Pelodiscus sinensis: one gene and its partner. The protein of the gene in region 1 interacts with the protein of each later gene in a biochemical or structural test. Links are inferred from orthologs where the notes say so. Each region holds a gene or a part of one and is shown on either strand. Other genes may lie near its edges.

Region 1 (10,710 bases):
CACGTACAAATTTGGTTTTTTTTTAATAAATGAGGGTAATACACACACACACACACACACACACACACACACACACACACACACACACGTTACAACTCCTCTTTGGAAACTAATGTGTGTAAGCACAATTCACTCATTCTGCTGACAAGGAAAGGCACACAAGTTCTACCACTCCTTCAAGACTAACAGATGGTTAAAAAACAACAAATAGTCTTGCAGCACTTTAAGAACATAACAGAGACTAGGGATACTATTCCTTACCCAACCTGGGTAATAGCCTTCACAACCTCCTTAGGCAAGGTTACGATAAGCATGGGCACTTGTACACAGCAAGTAGTTCAGCCTTGTTTATAACCTTTACACATGGTCATCAAACAAAAAGACAAGCAGACCCAACCTTAAGTTTGACTCTTTACTAACTATAAGCAAATGGAAAAACTTAAAAAAAAAACAGCAAATAGTCTTGCAGCACCTTAAAAACTAACAAAACAGGTAGATGGTGTCATGAGCTTTCAAGGGTACAACCTACTTCTTCAGTTTCATCGGTCGTGGGTAGTGCCCATGAGGGTGTATGATATCATCTACATGTTTTGTTAGTTTTTAAGGTGCTGTAATACTATTTTAGAAAAGTCTGGCATTAGAAAAAATTCAGAGAAGGGCAACTAAAATGATTAGGGGTTTGAAACAAGTCCCATATGAGGAGACTAGGACTTCTCAGCTTGGAAAAGAGGAATAAAGAAAAGTTATTTACTTGTTCTCATAATATAAGAACTAGGGGCTACCAAATGAAATTAATGGGCAGCAGGTTTAAAACAAATAAAAGGAAGTTCTTCTTCACATAGCGCACAGTCAGCCTGTGGAACTCCTTGCCTAAGGAGGTTGTGAAGGTTATTACCTAGGTTGGGTAAGGAATAGTATCCCTAGTCTCTGTTGTGTTCTTAAAGTGCTGCAAGACTATTTGTTGTTTTTTAAGTTTTTCCAGTTACAGACTAACTGAGCTACCCCTCTGAAATTTATAATCAAAATCATTCCCTCTTTTATCCTCTATTTCACTCAAATTTTAAAGAGACGCTGTAAGATTATTTTTTCCTCATAACCAATGTTTCCTCATTTCTGTAATCAGAAGGGATTTTGAAAATGTCAAATTTGATTTTCTAACTCCACTTAGCTTGGACAATAAAAGCAATCAAATCAGTTCCACTTTCTGATTTTCAAGCACTACTGTATATAGGAAAATATGAAATATAAAGCAAAATAACAAAACATTCCAGCATCATCACAAAACACTTTGTTGTCATTAATTCATTTTAGATTTAATGAAACAGGCCTCAACACTGCAAACACTAATGTAACAATCCTGTTTATATTTACACATGAATAATCCCACTGAAGTTTGGGTTACATCCCCATTTGCTGTATTTTTTACTCATTTATACATGCTGGCATTTTTTGCTGCATCCATTCCTGATAATGGATTTTATAGAAACAATTTAATTTCAAGCACCAAAATCACAGTAACGCACTGCCTACTCTATTTTCTGAGTGGTGTCACAGAGTGTTCCATACTACAGGCAATGCAGTACTACAGTTTTTCATTCTGGTATGGCACTGCAGAGTGTATAAACCTACTCTTCCACTATCCTGCCAGGGACTGCACTATTGTCTTATAGAACTGGACTGTAAGAGACCTGTTCATTATCAGTTGATGCATTACATGGTGAGAGTATAAAATATAAGGTAAAGCTGCAATGGCTAAATTGATACTGAGGAAATGCAGGAGTTTGCAGCTCTCAAAATAATGGGATCAGAGCTTTGGCTTGTAGACAGGGAAATGCTGAGACAATCCAAAAACATCAGCAAAAGTCATTTTCTAAAAAGCGCCAAGGATGCATTTTGTTCTTTTCAGTATTACTGTGGCCAAGTGCTTTTAGGTGTTTACGCAGAGTTCCAGGATAGGGATGTAAGAGTCCACTATCTGATAAGCAAAAGCTTATCAGATAGTAGACTAGCCCCTCCACTATTTACTTCCCCCCTCCTTTGCTGCCTGTATCAGAGGCAGTGGGGGAGCAGGAGCCAGTGCTGGGGGGAGCTGGCTTAAAAGCTGGTTCTCCCAGTACCATCTCCGGGGGGGGGGGGGGTAAGGGCAGGGCAGGGAAGGCAGGGGGTAGTGGGGCTCTTAATACATTTAAAAAGCCAGGAGCAAACCCCACTGCAGCTCTCCTACTTATCAACTAATCAACTAGTCCAGGGCTACTCAACTTTGGAAGCCCCGGGTGCCACATTGATACTCACAGCACATGCCAAGGGCTGCAACTTAAGTGTGGTTGCATGTACATGCAAATATATATGCAAATATATGCAAATAGCTTCTTTCACTCTGACCGCATGAATACAAAGATTAAGGTAAGACTACATAACATGCAGGCCCCATTTAAGTTAGTTCTACTGATATTAATACAATGCAATATTTACCCAATTTCCACCCCTATGACAGCACTTATAATGAGCAATGACAGTGCAGGAATTTAACTACTAAAACACATATCAACAAAAGACCAGTCTAATGACTACTTTTTTGTTTTGGCACCCACCTGCTGGCCGCATGTTGAGCCCCGTGTAAACGCAAATCACAATGTGGGCTGCAAAAAAGTGGGCCGTGTGTTGAGTAGGCCTGGACTAATCAATGCAAAATCCATCAACTTAGATGATTAGATGATTAAATGAAATTTAATGTCCCTATTCCAGGATAACAACAGTCAATAGGCCAGGGGATACTTAAGAATTATGTTCCTTTAGAATCCTTTGATCACATTGTAATGAGAGGAGATATGCTCTGAAAGGATGCTGTGTAAACAAGATTCAATCAAATAAAATATAGGTAATTTAATTAGGCAGTCTTCTGTCATGCAGATTCAGTAATGTCAGAGTCAACTGTATGTTCGCTGGTTGGACAGAACAAGCAGTCCTCCAGCTTTCACCTCAGCAAAGGAAGAACCATTGGATAATTACATTTGTTTTTGCCCTTGTTCTGCAAATTCTTAGGCAACATGTGCATAACTTTAATGAAGGTATTAAGTGTCAAAATTATGTATATGCTTTAGTGTTTGCAAAACAGTCACATCCCTGATGTGAACCACAAAAAAACCCTGTAAAATTCAGAGGGCTTTTGCATTCTCTTAAAATCTGCCAAAGAAGTTTTTGAAGTGATTATGTTATGTGTCCACCTAAAGTTAGAATATATAGTGTGATTGCTAATTATAGAAGACTTGTGTAACATGATTTGAGATTAATTTTAAAAGTTTAAAATATACCAGGGTGCCCAACACCCTTTCTTTATACACATACTTGCAATTCCAGCAGACAGAGTCACAAAACCAACAGGACGATAAGGTTAGAAAGGGACTGCAAAGGTCATCCAGTCTAACCCCCGCCAGATGTAGGCTTTGTCCTCTAAAGCCATATGCCACACAGTCATCATCTCTTAGAACAAGGAGTGCATGGGAAGCACGACCCACCCCCTCCACCTACGTATGCAGTGTGCACTCCCGCAAGAGGTGGATTTTACATCAAGCCTCCAGTTGATGAGTCACACACGAGTGGAGGTGCTGAATTGCAAACAACCGCATTTCACCTAAAAATAAGTGAGGTAGGTCTCCTCTCCCACAACGTGCGGCCCTTAGCAATCTCTCACGCACACACAGTGCTCGTGTATCAAGTGCAGTTTGGGGGTTTTTTTGACATGTAAAATATCTACTGTTGGACTAGGTGCACCCCCACAGCCTCGGTGTATCCTCGCTCCCGCAGCCCAGGACAGTGTTTGGAGTAACTACCACAATTGTGCAGTGCCAAAACTCTGTAGCTCAGCCTGCCACCGTGGGCCGCAACTAGTCCCCCCGGTGAACCTCACCCGCCGCCGCGGGGCAGCACCTTCACCACCTTTTATTCCCGCGAAGTGCTGTGAGGATGGTGGCTGCGTAACAGACCACAGCTCCCTTGGTGCAAACTCGGTGCTTGCTGGGTCTGTCTGTAGCGTTTCCCGCACGGGCTTACGCCAGCCATGTTAGCAGTCCCGCAGAGACGGCCCTCACCCCACCACCCCCGGGCAGTGGAAAGGGGCTTTTATACGTCAGAGTCGCCAGCGTGTAGGCCTGCCTCCCCCAGTGGAGTGTCAGCAAATGCCTTCCTCCTCTGCTCCTGCTACTCTACCGCACTTCCCCAGCGGCTAGCCCGCCCACCCTCCCGTGTCTTCAAATAGACCCCCGTGTCTCCTCTCCCTTGGCTGGGCTGATCCGAGAGTAGACTAGGGACAGTACTAGCTGGCTGGGGCATGCTCAGTAAGAGCCAGGCACTGCGAGCAGAACCCGCCGGGGAGCAGGCTTCGGCGCTACACCCTCTTCCTGCCTCTCTCGCTTGCGTCAGATCAATGTTGCAGACTGTGCGCTGAGGATCCGCGCGTGGCGCGCTCGGCCCGGGAAACGCGGCGGCTGCCGGGGCCCCTGTCGGGCTGGTGGCCGGAGCGCCCCTCGGAACGCCGGGACATCTCTCTGGAACGCCGATACACTTTGGAACGTTCGCGGCGCCCGGTCGGCTGCTGGCGGCGGCCCGCTGTTGAGAGCGGAGCCGGTTCGTTGCGCGGGTCCCGCCTGCGGGGTTCGGTGAGTGGCCACCCGGGTGCCCGCAGTTCCATGGTTGGCTCGGACCGCGATGAGCCGCCCGTCCTCCGCCGGACCCAGCGCTAACAAACCCTGCGGCAAGCAGCAGCACGCCCCGTCCCCCGCTGCTGCCCCTGCTGCCGCCGCCACCATCTCGGCTGCCGGCCCCGGCTCCTCCGCGCTCCCCGCTGCGGCCGCTGTGATCTCAGGCCCCGGAGGAGGCGGCGGCGGCGGGCCGGTCTCGCCTCAGCACCACGAGCTGACCTCGTTGTTCGAGTGTCCCGTCTGCTTCGACTATGTGCTGCCCCCGATCCTGCAGTGCCAGGCCGGGCATCTGGTGTGCAATCAATGCCGGCAGAAACTGAGCTGCTGCCCCACGTGCAGGGGATCCCTGACCCCAAGCATCAGGAACCTGGCCATGGAGAAAGTGGCTTCAGCTGTCCTCTTCCCCTGCAAGGTAAGAGGCTCTTCCAAGTCCCTTTCTGCTCCGGCCGACACGGTCCGGGGGGTGACTGGATGGAGCTAGTCCTTGTGCCTTATTCATCCCCGGACCGGAATGCTGCTGTCATTTCTGTAGAGCCACAAAGCAAAGGCTCCTCTAAGAGCTGCCATAGGGAGCCCTTTCCCTCTGGGTCACTACTGAGATGGGGACCTGCCCTCTCAACGAATCGCAGAATTTTGCAGAGGGCCGGATTGTGAAAGTTTTGCTTCTCCTTTCCAGATTCCAGTCAACAGGAACATTCTGCACCTTCCAGCCATACCAGAGGGAGGCTCGTGTCCTAGTTATATATATGGCTTCTAAACAATTCCCTGCCCCCTTTCGCTCCCACAGCAATATGTGCCCAAGTAACCCCAGTAACAGCTGATCACCCCTTTCCAGCAGAAACACGGGCGGGGGCTTCTACTCCCAGCCCTGTCAGCAGACATTTGGCCTCCTGCTGGGAGCACAGTTCCTTTCCCCAAGAGTATTAAGAGTACAAAGAATATATATCCTGCTCTTTGTCTTAAAGATACCCACAGCTTGACTCTTGTTTACAAATTAAGTGCCGCTGTCTTGTCTTAATCCTGTGTGATAGCCCTGCCGGTACACAGTGGTATTATGTGTAACTACACCATTAAGGCTTTTAAAACAATCAACTATTAAAATGTTACATAAACATCTAATTGTTAAAAGTAATATCACTTAGATTCTTGAATAGATCGTTTTTCACATTGCAAAGTGTTTAGACCATCTTAATGCATTATTCTTCATGCTTGCAATTTAATTTGATGACTAAGAGGGACACAATATATTTTAAAAGTCATGATAACTAAATGTGTTCTGTCTGTTATTTAGAACACTATTATAATTCCATCAGATTAAAGAAAATAAATCTGTCCTTCCATTTTCAGTCTGCTTACTTTGTACCAATTACTTGGTATTTAATCAATTTCACATCTTTTCCCTGGCATGGTCTGTGTAGTTTGGGTGGGTGTCTCTCTCATAATAATTAAGGGCAGAAAACATATATTTAAATAATAGGAAATGTGATAGACTAAGGGAATCAGGAACAGATAAAGTATCAGAATCTGCTGTTTATAACAGGTTAGATTTCAAATTGAGAGTGCCTTTTTAAATGAAGTGTTGATTACTTCTCCCACCCCAATAAACTACAAAGAATATTTAGAAAAGCTTAATCTGAATTCAAGAGCTTTGATTTCCTTTGTTGTGGTTGTTGATTTAAAGTAGATTGTGTGAATTATCTTAAAATATGTCCTTACGGAAATAAGCATACAAGGTGGATTATACAGATTCTTGCTACCCCTAGCAGAACTTTGATATTTACAAACAAGCCCAGATCCTGCAGTTTGACTCCACACAAGCTTAAGAATTCATATTATCACTCACACCTACTTGAAGAAGTGGGGCAATAGGGAATGAAACATAATAAGTGGAATGGGCTGTTGTACTCCTTTGTCTTAAATTGAGAGGCTTGACTGGAATTGGTGCTTAGAGTGAAAATATTTTCCTTCTGTTTGAAAAAAAGTGACAGGAGGCCATAATTTAAGCTGCTCATTTTCCACCACCCATGTATGCCCTGTGTTCTGCAGTTTGTCCTTACAACTTCAGTTTGTTTTACATACTCGTTTTATAAGGGTTTTTTATGCCATGCTGCTATTTGGGGTCAGTAGTGTTAGCCAACAACAGAGCTCCAGGAGTGATGTTTACCTGGCCTGAACCAAAGATTGAAAAGCTTCCTCAATTCTTATTGCCTGTCATTATCTGTTTTTTAAAACATTTATTCTTACCTGGAACCTTTTACTCATTATGCTGGGCAAACTTAAAAACCAGAAGAATGCAAGAAAAAAATTGGTGCACATTTCCTAAAATTTGGTGTAAATTTTAATGTGTCCAGTCAAAAGTGTTCCACCCATCTAATCCCCCCACCCCAAAAGTGAGCACTCCTTTAGGCAAGGACCTGGACTTTACAGCAAGGTACTGATATTTTCACTATAGGAGTCAGTGCTTAGTGGAAAGTCACTAACTCCTGTGCCACCTATGCACTGAGCTCAGTGTAAAATCGGAGGTGGATTCTACACCAGCATCTCTTAGCGGGTTCTGAAATCCAGGCTGTGAACATTGAGGGGAAATGGGCAGAACATTAGCTGTTGCAGCATAGAAGTTGCCTTGTGCTGAGAAGTCTTTCAGGCCAGCCATACCACCCTTTTCATGGCCAGTAACTTGCCAATCGGTTCTAAAAGGCTGTTGACCAGCTAGCGAAGCTGTGACAAAGTTGGGATTTTCTGTAATGTTTTTATGAAAGGCATGCATACTTTGCATTGCTGCCCAGAGGAGGAAAAAGAGTTAAGTCTGTTCTTGGAAGCAGCACAGGACATGAGGTGTGTGGGTGTTGCTATGCTCTCTGGCCTGCAATGAATAGGGTTGTTGAGGAACTGGCTGGAACCTGCTGAAAGCAACCCTTATGGATGCTGCCTCCAAAAGAGACAATGGAAAACCTCAGGGGCTAGAACATTGACACCTAGGAAACAATGATTGAAAGGGAGGATAAACTTAAACAACAAATGGTCTGGTAGCACTTTAGAGACTAACAAAACATGTAGTGTCATGAGGTTTCATGGGCACATCTGAAGAAGTGGGCTCTGCCCACAAAAGCTCATGATACCATCTACATGTTTTGTTAGTCTATAAAGTGCTACCAGAACATGTGTTATTTTTTGTTTATCCTGTACATACTAACTCAGCTACCCCCTGAAGCTTCTAAAAGGAAGGAGGTTTTCTCCCCATCTGTCTGCAGGAAAGCAGAGCAAAATCCCCCACCTTGAGAACAAAGAACTGACCTGGAAAGGAAAAGGGGATTGGCTTCTGGAAGAGTCTAACTGCTCTCACCTGGATAGGTAAGGAGAGAAAGAGAGAGGTGGAGTCCATTAGAACATGGCTTGCTCATTCACTGGTTTGACCAGTATTGACAGAACTCTACTCTCTCTTTGCCAACTCAAGAACACTTAGATTCTGTGCACCAAGTGACAAATACTTTGTTGCCTTGTTTAGAAAAAGCTGATCCTCACTGGGACCACTGTGCCCAAAGGATACAAGCCTCTTGCAGGGGTCTGGCTTAGCAAGATTTGTTATAGAGAGTCAGAGAGATGAATACTCAGTTTTAGAGGCCAGGGACCTGTCTGTGGAATTGTGTGATGTTGGGGGATTTGGTATGTCACTCCCCAGAGACTTCTCATACATTAGAGGGCAATGACCAGACCTTGTGAATCCACGAGTGAAGCAAAAGTGTGTGAGTATTTGGTTGTGTGACAGTCTCAACCAGTTGCATTGCTGAGCAATCCAAAGTTGTAATAAACATTAGTATTACTGGATTTCCTTAAAGAATTATTTTAAATTACAAAGTGGAAATTGATGCATGAGAGGTGTGATGCAACTGAACTGTAGTGTAAGTGCTGATTGAGTTAATGTTAAATTTCATTGCCAGCAAGACCTAGAGACACAATGGTTTGCAGTTACGGGAAGATTTCCAGGATTTTTCTGGAGTTAATCAAAAGTGTCAATAGAAGGTTTGTTTGGCTGTTTGAAGGGGAAGATGCTTTGTTGTTTTTCAAATAATTTTTATTGTGAGGTTTTCTTTGTTTTAAGACCCTTGAAGTTGTGGGTCTCTGAATACTGTTCAATGCAGAGCCCTGGCCCAGAGTACACTAAGGGTGTGTCTAGACTACAGGGTTTTGTCGACAAAAGTGGACTTTTGTCGACAAAACTATACTTGCGTCCACACTACCGCTGAGTTCTGTAGATATAACGTCGACAGAACTCAGCAGTTTTGTCGACGCTGGTAAACCTCATTTCACGAGGCATAACACCTTCTGTCGACAGAGTTCTGTAGACAGAAAGCATTATTGCATGTAAACTGTCCTTGCGTCTACACTGCCATGTCGACAAAGCAGCTTGCTTTGTTGACAGAACTGAATGTAGTGTAGACACTCTTTGTCGACAGAAGCTTTGTCGACAGTATTTGTCGACAAAGCTTCTGTCGACAAAATGCTGTAGTCTAGACATACCCCAAGGACGTTAAGTAATTTTCAGCATGGAACTCTGCTGGCACCCCTGTGAAGCATCAGGTAAATGCCCTTTGCAGTACAGTGTATATATGGCTCTGCTAAGTTTTCTGTTTGTAAAGATATATTTTTAAAGCTTTGCAAACAGAATAAGAAAAAGAGGGCACGTACCCGACACTCTATGGTCTAGCTCACATGCTTCAGCTGTGTGGAGTGTCATACATCACAATGACAGGAATTTACTGATATTTTTAATTGACTACTGTTGTTCTTGTTTGCAGTAAAGCTGATGCAGAACATCTCTCTTGTCCTTCTTTTGGCACAGTCAACCTGCAGTTATGAAGCTAGAAGTGTTTTGGGAGGTATTTTTATTCTGCTTTTAAAAGAACTATTCAGTGATGGAATGGGGTATCCATCATATCTGTTCAACTAGTTTTCTGTAGCCCTTCTTGAGGGAGTGAGAGAGTACTGACAAGCTGCCCAGTCACAAATTATAGTTGACATCTTTAGATTTAGTTCAGAAGTTTTCAGTTTTTCATAAGGTACATTAAGTATTTAAATCTTACTGCATTTTTTTATTTTTTTTAAAACTTAATGAACTGTTTTGAAGTCCATATCTCTTCCAATATTCATTTGACTGCACTAGAATTACATCTCCATTCTTAAAACTTTAGCTAGAGATCCTTAACCCTTTGCACTTTCATAATGCCTCAGAGCACCTGACAGACAGCTAAATCTCACAACAGTACAGTAATGGCTGAAGCCAATATCGGTTGTGTCACTGGACAGTCTTGATTCTCTTTGCTTTTTTATGTAAGGATGAGAGAGAGAATTCTTGATGACATAAGCAAGCAGAATATAATGACCTAGTTTGGACAGAACACTGTTGTGAAATCTGTACTATTACGTTCTATGGGATATTTATGGTTATTAGTTCTGTATCACCTCTGAAAGCTAGTCCACAGCAGTATAGTGCCCCATAACAACCTGTAAGATTCATTACACATTGAGGGGGAAGAGTGACACCTCCAGAATGAATCATTAGTACCACTTCCTGCAATATTTTAAATTCAGTCCTTGGCTGGGACACCTATTTAGCTTGTGAACTAGATCACAGGACAAGGTGGGATGAATGTAGGTGTTTTGTTGGGATTTTAAGAATGTCAGAGTCTGTTTCTGTTCAGTTTTCAAATGAAATATAGAACTAAAACACAGCTGTTCTTTTAAAATCCAGTATAGGAAGTAGTTCAGAGCGTCAGATGCCCAGCTATGATGCATTCTTGGCCTAAAAAGAACAAAACATTCCATGCATTCTTTTCAGATATGCTTGCTTGCCTAGTTTTTATTTTTAAAGCATCCTCTTGTCTTAATATTCTGTGACAGTGTGGCCTATTTCCCCTTAATATCTCTATATCACCTCAAAAGCAGCTATCCTGATCACAATATTGTAGCTAGTGTTATATTGAAACAGATTAGAGATACATTGAGGCTGAAGACC
Region 2 (10,710 bases), on another chromosome or scaffold:
AGCCCAGGCTATAGTCGGAACCAATAAATGGGAGACAGTTCACATGTTACTTCACTGTAGCACACACTAGTCTATAAGAATCTTCGACATAGTCTTCCCCCCTCCCCTTGCTTTTACCACTCTGACACTCCTTTCAACAGAAAAGGGTCTGGAAAGCAAGAAATTAAACTCAAATTCCCTGGCTTCCACATGCATTGCCTGTCCTTAAAAAGGGATGCCTGCAGGCAGTGAATAAGAAACAGGTTCCTGAAAGCCCCATGCACCTCAGATTTACCATTGCACAATAAGTGAACTTGTAGGAAGTAGGAGCTCCAAACTGCTGACTCCCACAGCCTTAACAGCTCCAGCTTTTGGTGTCTATTTTTAAATGTTTAGTTAAGGGGCCTTTGGTGAAATCCTGGCTCATGGAAGTCAAAGGCAAAAATGCTCAATGACTTCAGTGGTGCCAGGATCTCCCATTTAATTTTCAGGAAGTCATAAAAAATGTTCCTCTTTCAATCTTATTTTAAAAACAAAAAACAAGGAGTTGAGGGGGAGAGGTACATATGCTGGTGGGTAGGGCTAAGGTCCAGAGTGACCTAGATAAATTGGAGAACTGTGTAAAAAAAAAAAAAAAAAAAAAAAAAAAAAAATCTCATGAGCAGGGCTCATCAGCTACGTGGTTCTGCGCTCTGCGCATGCGCAGATTGTTCTGTGCATGCGCAGATCACTCTGCACTGGCTCTTCCAGGGTGTAATCTACTTGCCACGGGCGAGTAGATTACATTATTTGTCGAGCCCTGCTAATGAGGCTCAAAAAGGACAAGTGCAGAGTCCTATATTTAGGATGGAAGAATCCCAAGCAGTACTACAGGCTGGGGACCAACTGGCTAGGCAGCAGTTGTGCAGAAAAGGACTTTGGGATTACAGCAGATGAGAAACTGAATGAGTCATGGTGTGACCTTGTTGCCAAGAAGGCTAATGACATACTGGGCTACATTTGTAGGAGCATTGCCAGCAGATCTAGGGAAGTGATTATTCCCCTCTATTCAGCACTGGTAAGGTCACAACCGGAATACTGAGACCAGTTTTGTGCCCCCCACTACAGAAAGGATGTGGGCAAATTGGAGCAAGTCCAGCAGAGGGCAACAAAAAAGATTAGTGGGCTGGGCACACGACTTATGAGGAGAGGCTGAAGGAACTGAGTTTATTTAGTCTGCAGAAGAGAAGAGTGAGCGGAGATTTGATAGCAGCCTTCAACTGCTTGAAGGGGGTGGTCCAAAGAGGATGGAGAGAGGGTGTTCTCAGTGAGGACAGAACAAGAAGCAATGGTCTCAAGTTGCCATGGGGGAGGTCTAGGTTGGATATTAGGAAAATATATTTCACTAGGAGAGTGTTGAAGCACTGGAATGAGTTGCCTAGGGAAGGGGTAGAATCACCATTCTAAGAGAGTTTTAAAGCAAGGCTTGGCAAAACACTGACTGGAATGATTTAGATAGGGTTGATCCTGTGTTGAGCAGGGGATTGGACTAGATGCCTCCTGAGCTCCCTCTCAATCCTATTCTTCTATGATTCTATGAAGTTTCAAGGTGCAGCTACACGAGATCCCTGCCCTACTAAGTACTGTCACTCATTTAGATTAGGGTTGTTAAAACACATTTATTTTTAAAATGAGTAAGTGCTGTCATTTTCAACGGTTACACGTTTACACATTGAGGAGCAGGTACTTGTGGAGAGCTGGCTTAAAAGTCTCCTGCCTCGCTCCCCACTGCTTTTGATACAGAGGCAGAGGGTGTATGTGCATGTAATCATGGGGGTTAACCAATGAGACCAGGCTTATTGGTTAACTGTACACAAGTACATGTTAGCATCTTCCAACCTCGAACATCCAAAAATGCCTACAAATTATATACCAGGATCACTTCAACCACCATTGAAATGAAGTGTCCCTCTAGGGTGGGACACAAAAATAATTATTTCTCATTAGTCAAGGCAGGAAATGAAAGAATCCTATTTCTGTTAAATCTCAACTTTGTGTATCCCATATACATGTCTGAAAATTCCTATAGATCAGATAAAACAAACTGCCCGAATTGATGAGATGTTATAGATACATCAGAGGCCGCAGGAATTAGATGGGAATATAAAGGGAACTTTTTATATTGTGAAAACTGGACAAATGTAATACAACAAGGAAACTTACTCTGGAGTTTTGGTGACTGGAGCTCTGAGACTTTCACAATTTAGTCACAAGTACTCTCATTAGGGATGTGAATGTTTAACTGGTAAGGGCTGGAGCAGCCTCCGGCCCACTGTAGAGCTGCTCCAATCCATGGGATTGAGCAGCCCCTCTTCCACCACTTGCCCTATTTAATTGGTTAACTGGTAAAACATATTGTTAACTAATTAAATGGGATTTTACATCCCTAATTCCCATCTGGATTTACAGCCTCATGTTACACAGTTTCTTAAACATATTTATATAAAATATCTAATATACTAAGCAAAGCGAGCTACCTTCATCCCACAGATGTTTCCCTTGGGGTAATTTGCGGCAGGGTTAATCCAAGCATCCCCATCAGAATCTTTGTGGAGGAAGAAGTTCTGTTTCAGATTCTGTAGGAGCAACAGACTCCTGTGTGTGCCTGGAGAGACCCTGCACTGCTAGGATCCAGATCACTATAAGCATAGACTTTAGGAAGCCCATGCTACAATGGGTGGCTGTGCAAAACAAAATCCACAGATGGTACTTTCCACGTGAGCTGTGGTTTTCTGTGTTTTAAGAACTGCTATTGTGACCAGGGAAATTCTAAAATGCTCTAACATAACTGGGCCCCCTTATCCTAAAGAACTGAAATCTTATGTATGAGCCTAGGCAGAGGGCCTACCAGTGAAGGGAATAACACAAGAATGCCTATTTTGGGTCAGACCAATGGTCCATCTAGCCCAGAATTCTGTCTTTAAACAATGACCAATCCCAGGTGCTTCAAAGGGAAAGAACACAGCAGGCAATCCTCAAATGATCCATCCCATCATCCAGTCTCAGTTTCTGGAAGTCATAGGCTACCCAGTACCATTTTCACAAAAATCCCCTGGCAACAAGTTCCACAGGTTGATTATGTGTTGTGTGAGGCCAGAGGTGAGAAGCCATTCTGATTAAGGATGTAAAATCCCTTTTAATCAGTTATCGGTTAAACGTTATGTGTAACCCGGTTAATGACTTAAACGGGAGTGGCCCTCTTGCCTGTGGTATGGCAGGGGCTGCTCTGATCAGGCCAGGTCCACCAGTTAACTGTAACCAGTAAGCATCCCCTGGCAAGGGTGATGCTAACTAGTCAGAGTTTACCGGTTAATCATCCACATCCCTAATCCTGATTCAAGACGCTGAAAGTCTCTATGCACGGCACTGTGTTACTTAGGGCTTTCTTGCTTCTGCTCCTCAGGGGTGGTGTTCCAGAGCATACAGCCACATGTTTGGCAGGGGAGTCATTAGCAGGAAACATCCCATTTCCAGAATAAATCTGCTGGGATTGCATCTAATCTCAAGGACACTAAGACGCTTGGCATTAATGTCTGAACAAACAACTAATATTGTCATACCCTTCACAGGAAAGTAGGAGCCTGAACAGGAAGCAAAATCTATAGATCTAGCAAACTGACTGTAGCACTACGAATCTCTTAACTTACACTTCCCCAGATCAAGCTACCAATTAATTTAATCTTTCCCTACCTTCACATAACTTCTCAGAACCATTCAACATGCTGGAACCAGTCTATCACCAAAGGCATCCCCTATATATTTAACCATCTCCATACTATCTTTTAGGGAAATGCCACTCATGACATTTGAAAAGTCCCCCTATGGAATACGGAAGATGACTGTAGGCATGCTGTGTGTCCTCAGTCCTATACTGGAAACAAGAGCCAGTTCAGATAAGAGCATTGAGAGAATAGAATCACGCTGGGCAAAGCCAGTTTCACGGCTCCAAGCACAACTTCCAATAGACAAAGGGCTGGAAAGCTTTGGAAGTGGCATGACAGACCAATCACTCTGTGGCAAAGACTTCTGCACACACATAGGAAATAGTGGAAGAACTGCTTACAGCAGAGAGGGCTGCTGCATTGACAGAGAGGGCTGCCAGTGTAACCCATTGCTGGAAACAAGAGAACCAAGTATTTCAAATTACTCATTGATTTCAACAATTAGTAATTATACACATCAGGTAGATAGAGAAGGAGACAGGTGCTAAGATGCAATGCAGACGGTAATGCTGAGCAGACAGAAGATATCGTTACCAAACTGGCAGCCTGACCTGTTCTCGAATTCCCTGCCAATCTCCCCACTAACTTTTATGATCCTTTCTTTCCTAAATATATCCCAAAGGTCTCATTCACTGTGAATTCTGCTGTTTTCAGTGTTGTAAACTACACTCTTTCTTTGGACCCTTTCCTCTGAGGGCTTCTGGGGCCCTCCTCTCTGTTCAACCCCTCTATAGGTAGTAATTCTCCTCACTTTTGTGCCCAATGGCAGTAGTAAATGGCCTTCTCTTCCTCCTCTCTCAGCACTTGTACATGATTCCTATGTTGGCAACTCATCTCTTGTCTTCAATCCCATAATGCTGCTTGTCTCTTCAAATTCTCTTTCTGCATATCTTCTTTCTTCCTCACATATCAAAACGCCAACACTTTTCTTCCTTCTCCTTATCTCTATTCCTGCTGACCACTCCCCTATCTTCCTAGTCACTCAAGCCCACAGACCTGAGGGTCATCCTCGTCTTCTCTTCTCTCCTCCTGCCATTAGATATCCACCAAATTCTGGCGAGTCTCCCTCTGCATTTCCAAAATCTGCTTCTTCCTCCTTATTCTCAATGTCAAAACTTTTTGTCTATGCCCTATTATCTCTTGCTTGATGACCACTACTTCCTTGGCCTTCTTACCCAAACACAAACATTTCTCAATTGATTTCACAGCTAATTCTACATCAAGTAGAAATGCCTTGTCCTTGCTATCATCTTTCTGCCCTAATTACACACTCATTACTGAGGTACCCAATTGCTACTTCTTGGCTGTGTCTAGACTGGCAAGTTTTTCCGCAAAAGCAACTGCTTTTGCAGAAAAGCTTGCTAGCTGTCTACACTGGCCGCTTGAATTTCTGCAAGAACACTGACAATCTCATGTAAGAAATCAGTGCTTCTTGCGGAAATACTATGCTGCTCCCGTTCCGACAAAAGTCCTTCTGCGCAAAAGGGCCAGTGTAGACAGCTCAGATTTGTTTTGCACAAAAAAGCCCCGATCGCAAAAATGGCGACTGGGGCTTTTTTGCGCAAAAGCGCGTCTAGACTGCCACAGACCCTTTTCCGCAAAAAGCGTCCGTGCCAATCTAGACACTCTTTTCCGCAAATGCTTTCAAATGGAAAACTTTGCAGTTAAAAGCATTTGTGGAAAATCATGCCAGTCTAGACGAATCCCCAGTCTTCTGCTACATTTCCATTTATATTTTGCCAATTTCTCCCCATAACAAAGCTTCCCACAATACAGTTTTTGAAACAGAGATCATTCTTTAGGTGCCTGTAAAGTTTTATGAACACTTAAGGTGCTGTCAAAATTACTTGCTTCTCTAGATTAACAATACCAATGCAAGTCGCATAAACCAGATAGAAAGCTGTCACAAGGATGGTATATGTGTACCAAAGAGACTGTGTTTTAGGAGATACATATTAGGAGAGCAGAATATGAGTGGGTATAAAAAAATCCTGGTATCAGACAGCTACAAAGATGTTTACGGTGGCATAGCTGTCTTTCTGTTTATTCCATGTAGGATGACCTCCTGATAGTAGAGCTGACAATAGGCTGTCCTTGTAACTCCTCCTCAGGAGGGCTCCAGCACACAGCTTGCAACAGTTGCCTGCCCAAGAATAAGAGCCACAAGGATGGTATTAGGGAGTTCTGAGGGCAAATGCTGGGCAGGCTATCAGGCTGCAGTTGAGGCGGCCCTGCTTGCCCAACCGGTGCTGTCTCTGGCTATGCTCAGGACCTATTCCATCAGCCCCATCCTGCAGGGTCTGGACTCAAATAGCCCTCGCCATTCGGGACTCCGGCTTTAGACTGGCAGGCGTATCCTTGGGGCGCGGGGTTTCCCTCAGCTGCCACTCCCCACGCCAGGCCGGTCCACGGACAGACCTCACAAGGGATTTGCTCCGAGGGGGGGGAGGGGAGGATCTGAGGCAGCGCCCTGTTCGCCGGGGCCCCAGCTTGGGGCACGGCTTGTGGGACACGTTCCCCTGAGGCTCGCGGTGCGCACGGCGGGTGCGCAATGGGGGTCCCACGAGGGAGCGGCCCGCGGGGGACCGGGCGCAGGAGTTTCTCCAGGAGTCGGCCCAGAACGGGGACGTGACACCGCGTCCCGGTGCCCTTGGCGCTGCTGCCCGTTCGTCCCTTCCGCTCCCGCCCCCGCCCCCGCCCCGGGCGGTACCTGCCGGAGCGCGCAGAGTGAGCGGCCAAGCGCCCCGCTCAGACAGCGGGACCGGGACAATAGCAGCATCGCGGCGGCGGCAGCGACGGCAGGAGCAGCCGGAGGGCGGACACCGGAACCAGGCCCGGCACAGGGCGGAAGCGGGCCGGGGCGGACCAACCTCGGGCGCATATGCGGGGGGGGGGGTGTGTCACAGGGGATCGTACCAACCACGGGGCTGGGGACGCAGACAGTGAATTCTCCTAAGGAGCAGCACGAGTGCACCCGAAGAGCAAAGCTGGTGGGAGCAGAAGGGAATGGCGGAAGGAATGAACCACCCCGAGGCGATGGGGGGGGGCGTGAGGACTGAACCACCCCGTGGGGTCTCATGAAGTGGGGCTGAACCGCCCTGTTGCATGGCAGTGGGGGCAGAGCCGCGCTCAGGACAGGACCTCAGAGAACACCCGGAAGCGGCGTGACACCCGCAGGGTGCACCGAGCGGAAAACGTGCCCCACCCTGCCCCAGTCCAGACGTCTCGCTCCGGCTCAGTACTCACAAGGCTGGTGTCGGCAGTGGGATAGGAGGAGGGTTTGATGGAGGAGGCGGGGCCAGTATATAATGAGCCGTTGTGCGAGAAGCAGGCAGATGCGCTGGCATGGTTGGTAGAGTAGAGGGCTGGGAGGGTGAATCAAGGAAGGGCAGAGAAGCTATTCAGATGAGAACAAGGAATTGGAACCTGATGAGGAATGACAGTGGGGGAGCCCTTACAAGGGTGCAGAGATGGATTCTGTGGTCAGTGACTGGCCATGAAGGTGATCTTGGCACTTGTAATTTGAATGGACCAGAGGATGCAATATGGGTGTCAGAGAAGATGAAGTTATGGCTAGGAGGATGGGAGATAAGGGAGTCACAGAACTGAACGAAGTAAGGGTAAAGCTCATCTGTTCAGAAGACAGAGTATTCGCAGGGGCCAATCCAAGGCTGTGTCTAGACTGGCAAGTTTTTCCAGAAAATCAGCAGCTTTTCTGGAAAAACTTGCCAGCTGTCTACACTGGCCACTTGAATTTCCGGAAAAGCACTGACGATGTCATGTAAAATCATCAGTGCTTTTCCGGAAATACTATGCTGCTCCCATTCGGGCAAAAGTCTTTTTCCGAAAGACTTTTGCCCAAAAGGGCCAGTGTAGACAGCATAGTCCTGTTTTCCGCAAAAAAAGCCTCGATCGTGAAAATGGCGATTGGGGCTTTTTTGCGGAAAACCGCGTCTAGATTGGCCACGGACGCTTTTCCGGAAAAAGTGCTTTTGCGGAAAAGCATCCTGCCAATCTAGACACGCTTTTCCGAAAATGCTTTTAACGGAAAACGTTTCCGTTAAAAGCATTTCTGGAAAATCATGCCAGTGTAGACGTAGCCCAAGAGTATAGTACATACTCTCAGGATTGAGACCCCCACAAACCTCACCACCTTTCATTCCAAGTTCTTACAATATTCTTTAAACAGAAATACCCTGTGCCCATCATTCTCACATACTATAGCTCATAGGCTGTGGGAAAGAGAAAGATCCACACATGACTGATGCTAGTCACTCTGCTGATGTAACTCACACACCTGCTAGGTTTGGTGTACTGTCCCACTTAGTGGTACTGAGACCACTTACAGAAGGAGTGGGAAACCTAAGGCAACCAGCTTACCTGTATCTGGCTCCTGAGGCTCAGGGCTCCCCCCCCCCCCCCCCCAAAGCAGGCTGATTAAAGTTGCTATAATCCTCTTTGTTTTCTCCTGCTAAAATCACACTAGTGACAGCTACAGTAAATTACTTTCTGGACATTACATTTGATATAAATAAATGTTTCAGTTGCCACAGGCATGTTACCTGGATAGAAATAGGAGGTCACCTGCACAACTGGAAATGGCAAGAAAGGAGCATGAAACAGCTTCCTCTTAACATGAGGTGAATGCTACTACAAAGTTTAAGAAACTCTGTACTAAACCTGCAATAGTCTGTGATCCTGTAATTAAAAACTGCATTGTAATGAGGCATCTGTTCCAAAAGGGAAAGTAAAGATTGAGTGTACATCCATAATTAAGGCTTTTCATAACTTTTGAGCATCTATGTAACCATAATACTCTGCAAAGAATTTTGCAGGGAATTTCCTAGGAATTTTTTAAAGGAAAAATATTAGAAAAATCAATAAGAGACATTCTCCAATACTTTGAAACTCTGCTGGCATGTAAACAAAAAGGAAATAGAGCCCTAGGGATGTTAAATTTAGTTTAATCAACTAATCAACTAGTCGATAGATTTTCCATTGATTAGTCAATAAGTGGGGGAGCAGCAGTGGGGTTAGCTCCCTGCCCTGGAAACTAACCCCTCTGCAGCTCTGCCTTTTAAATGTATTAAGAGCCTCTTGGCTCTTAATACATTTAAAAGACTGAAGTGCAGCAGGGGGGACCCTGCGTGAGCTGGGACAGCTGATTCCCGGTTCGTGCTGGGTCCCCTCCCGTGTCTTAATACATTTAAGAGCCCTCCCTACCGGCTCTTAATACATTTAAAAGGCTGGAGCTCAGCAGGGGACCTGGCACAAGCTGACAATCAGCTGGTCGGGCTTGCGCTGGATCCCCGCTGCTGCACTTCTGATTTTTAAAGTATGAAGAGCCAGGTGGCTCTTAATACATTTAAAAAGCAGAGGCACAGCACCCGGTCCCCACTATCCCCCTGCTTCCCCTGCCCCTTGCAGAGACAGTGCTGGGGGGAACCAGCTTTTAAACCAGCTCCCCCCAGCCCTAGGTCTGCCCCTCTTGCTGCCTCTATCAGAGGCAGCAAGTGGGGGGAAAGCAACTAGTTGAGGGACTAGTTGACTACCCAATAAGCTTTTGCTTAGCAGATAGTCGACTAGTCATTTATATCCCTAAGATCTTGTAAAGTGCCAAATCTAGAACTTTTTCAGTTATTCTTCACTGGAATGCTGCTGTCCTTGAGCAAGACACTGGAAAACAGCTGTCCTTAACAAAAGATTCCTGCCTAACAGGAAAAAAATATGCATGGTAGGCTTTCATTAAACATCTCTCTAAGTATCTGGAGGGAAATTAGAAAAATAAAAAATTTACTTAGAGTTGATTAATTCAGCTGAGCAGGTGAATTCAGTCTGGTTCCAGGGAAAATCCATCCTCAGCAGAGCCGTCCATCAAGATAGCTAGTTACAAAGATGACATCATCTAAACAAGCTTTCATTGGTTAATCACATTGTTCCATTAAGGAGAGGTGAAAGACTCTTTAGTCACTCTTTGCTATCCATTCCTGAGGAAAGGTAGATTATTTCCCACAGAATACTTACTTCCAGTTCTGAGAGCAGGAAGAAACTTACAAGCTACTGTGGACTACTGGTTCAAATTTCTAAAGTTACTGTTTGCAAAGTGCTTTAAAAATGTAAAATACTAAGTACAATTATTTGTTACTAGGGTTTGTCAAGTGATTTAAAAATTAATCATGATTAATCATGAGATTACAAAATTAACTGATTAATTGTGCTGTTAATAATAGAATATAATTTATGTAAATATTTTGGATGCTTTTCTACATTTTCAAATATATTGATTTCATTTACAATACAGAATACAAAGTATACTTAATATTATCATTTTTATTATAAATATTTTCATGTAAAAAGATAAACAAAATACATTTTATTTATCAATTCACCTCTTAAAAGTATTATAGGGCAATCTCTTTATTGTGAAAGTGCAAGTTGCAAATGTAATTTTTTTTGACACGTAACTGCAAGCAAAATCAAAACAATGTAAAACTTTAACACCTACAAGTCCACTCAGTCCTAATTCTTGTTTAGCCAATCACTAAGACAAATACGTTTGTTTACATTTATATGGGAGATAGTGCTGCCCACCTCTATTTACCATGTCACCTGAAAGTGAGAACAGGTGTTTGCATGGCACTTTTGTAGCTAGCTTTGCAAGCTATTTACATGCCAGAGATGCAAAACATTCATACACCCCTTTCATGCTTTGGCTACCCTTCCAGAGGGCATACTTTTAGGCTGATGGCAATTGTTAAAAAAAGTATTAATTAAATTTGTGACTGAACACTTTGGGGAGAATTCTATGTCTCTTGCTCTATTTTACCTGCATTCTGCCGTGTATTTCATGTTACCAGACCAGGTTCAAGCTCCAAAATCCTCTAAGATGTTGCTGTCTTCCCATCTTCATTATTTCTATGTTTTTATATTGCAGTGCAATCCTGTTTTGTTTAGCTTTGCAGGAGAACAA

What was found.
Region 2: the proteins of SIAH2 (region 1) and DLST form a complex in vitro, tested with the Homo sapiens proteins (2 studies listed by BioGRID, with this or other methods). The link is inferred for Pelodiscus sinensis from reciprocal best matches to the Homo sapiens genes SIAH2 and DLST.

What each region holds. Positions count from the first base shown.
Region 1 is NC_134720.1:26,652,414-26,663,123, reverse strand, and holds the start of SIAH2 (E3 ubiquitin-protein ligase SIAH2), read left to right. Parts: upstream 1-3,676; 5' UTR 3,677-4,704; coding exon 4,705-5,109; intron 5,110-10,710. UniProt on the Homo sapiens protein: E3 ubiquitin-protein ligase that mediates ubiquitination and subsequent proteasomal degradation of target proteins.
Region 2 is NC_134714.1:44,200,797-44,211,506, forward strand, and holds the start of DLST (dihydrolipoyllysine-residue succinyltransferase component of 2-oxoglutarate dehydrogenase complex, mitochondrial), read right to left. Parts: upstream 6,608-10,710; 5' UTR 6,520-6,607; coding exon 6,451-6,519; intron 1-6,450. UniProt on the Homo sapiens protein: Dihydrolipoamide succinyltransferase (E2) component of the 2-oxoglutarate dehydrogenase complex. The 2-oxoglutarate dehydrogenase complex catalyzes the overall conversion of 2-oxoglutarate to succinyl-CoA and CO(2).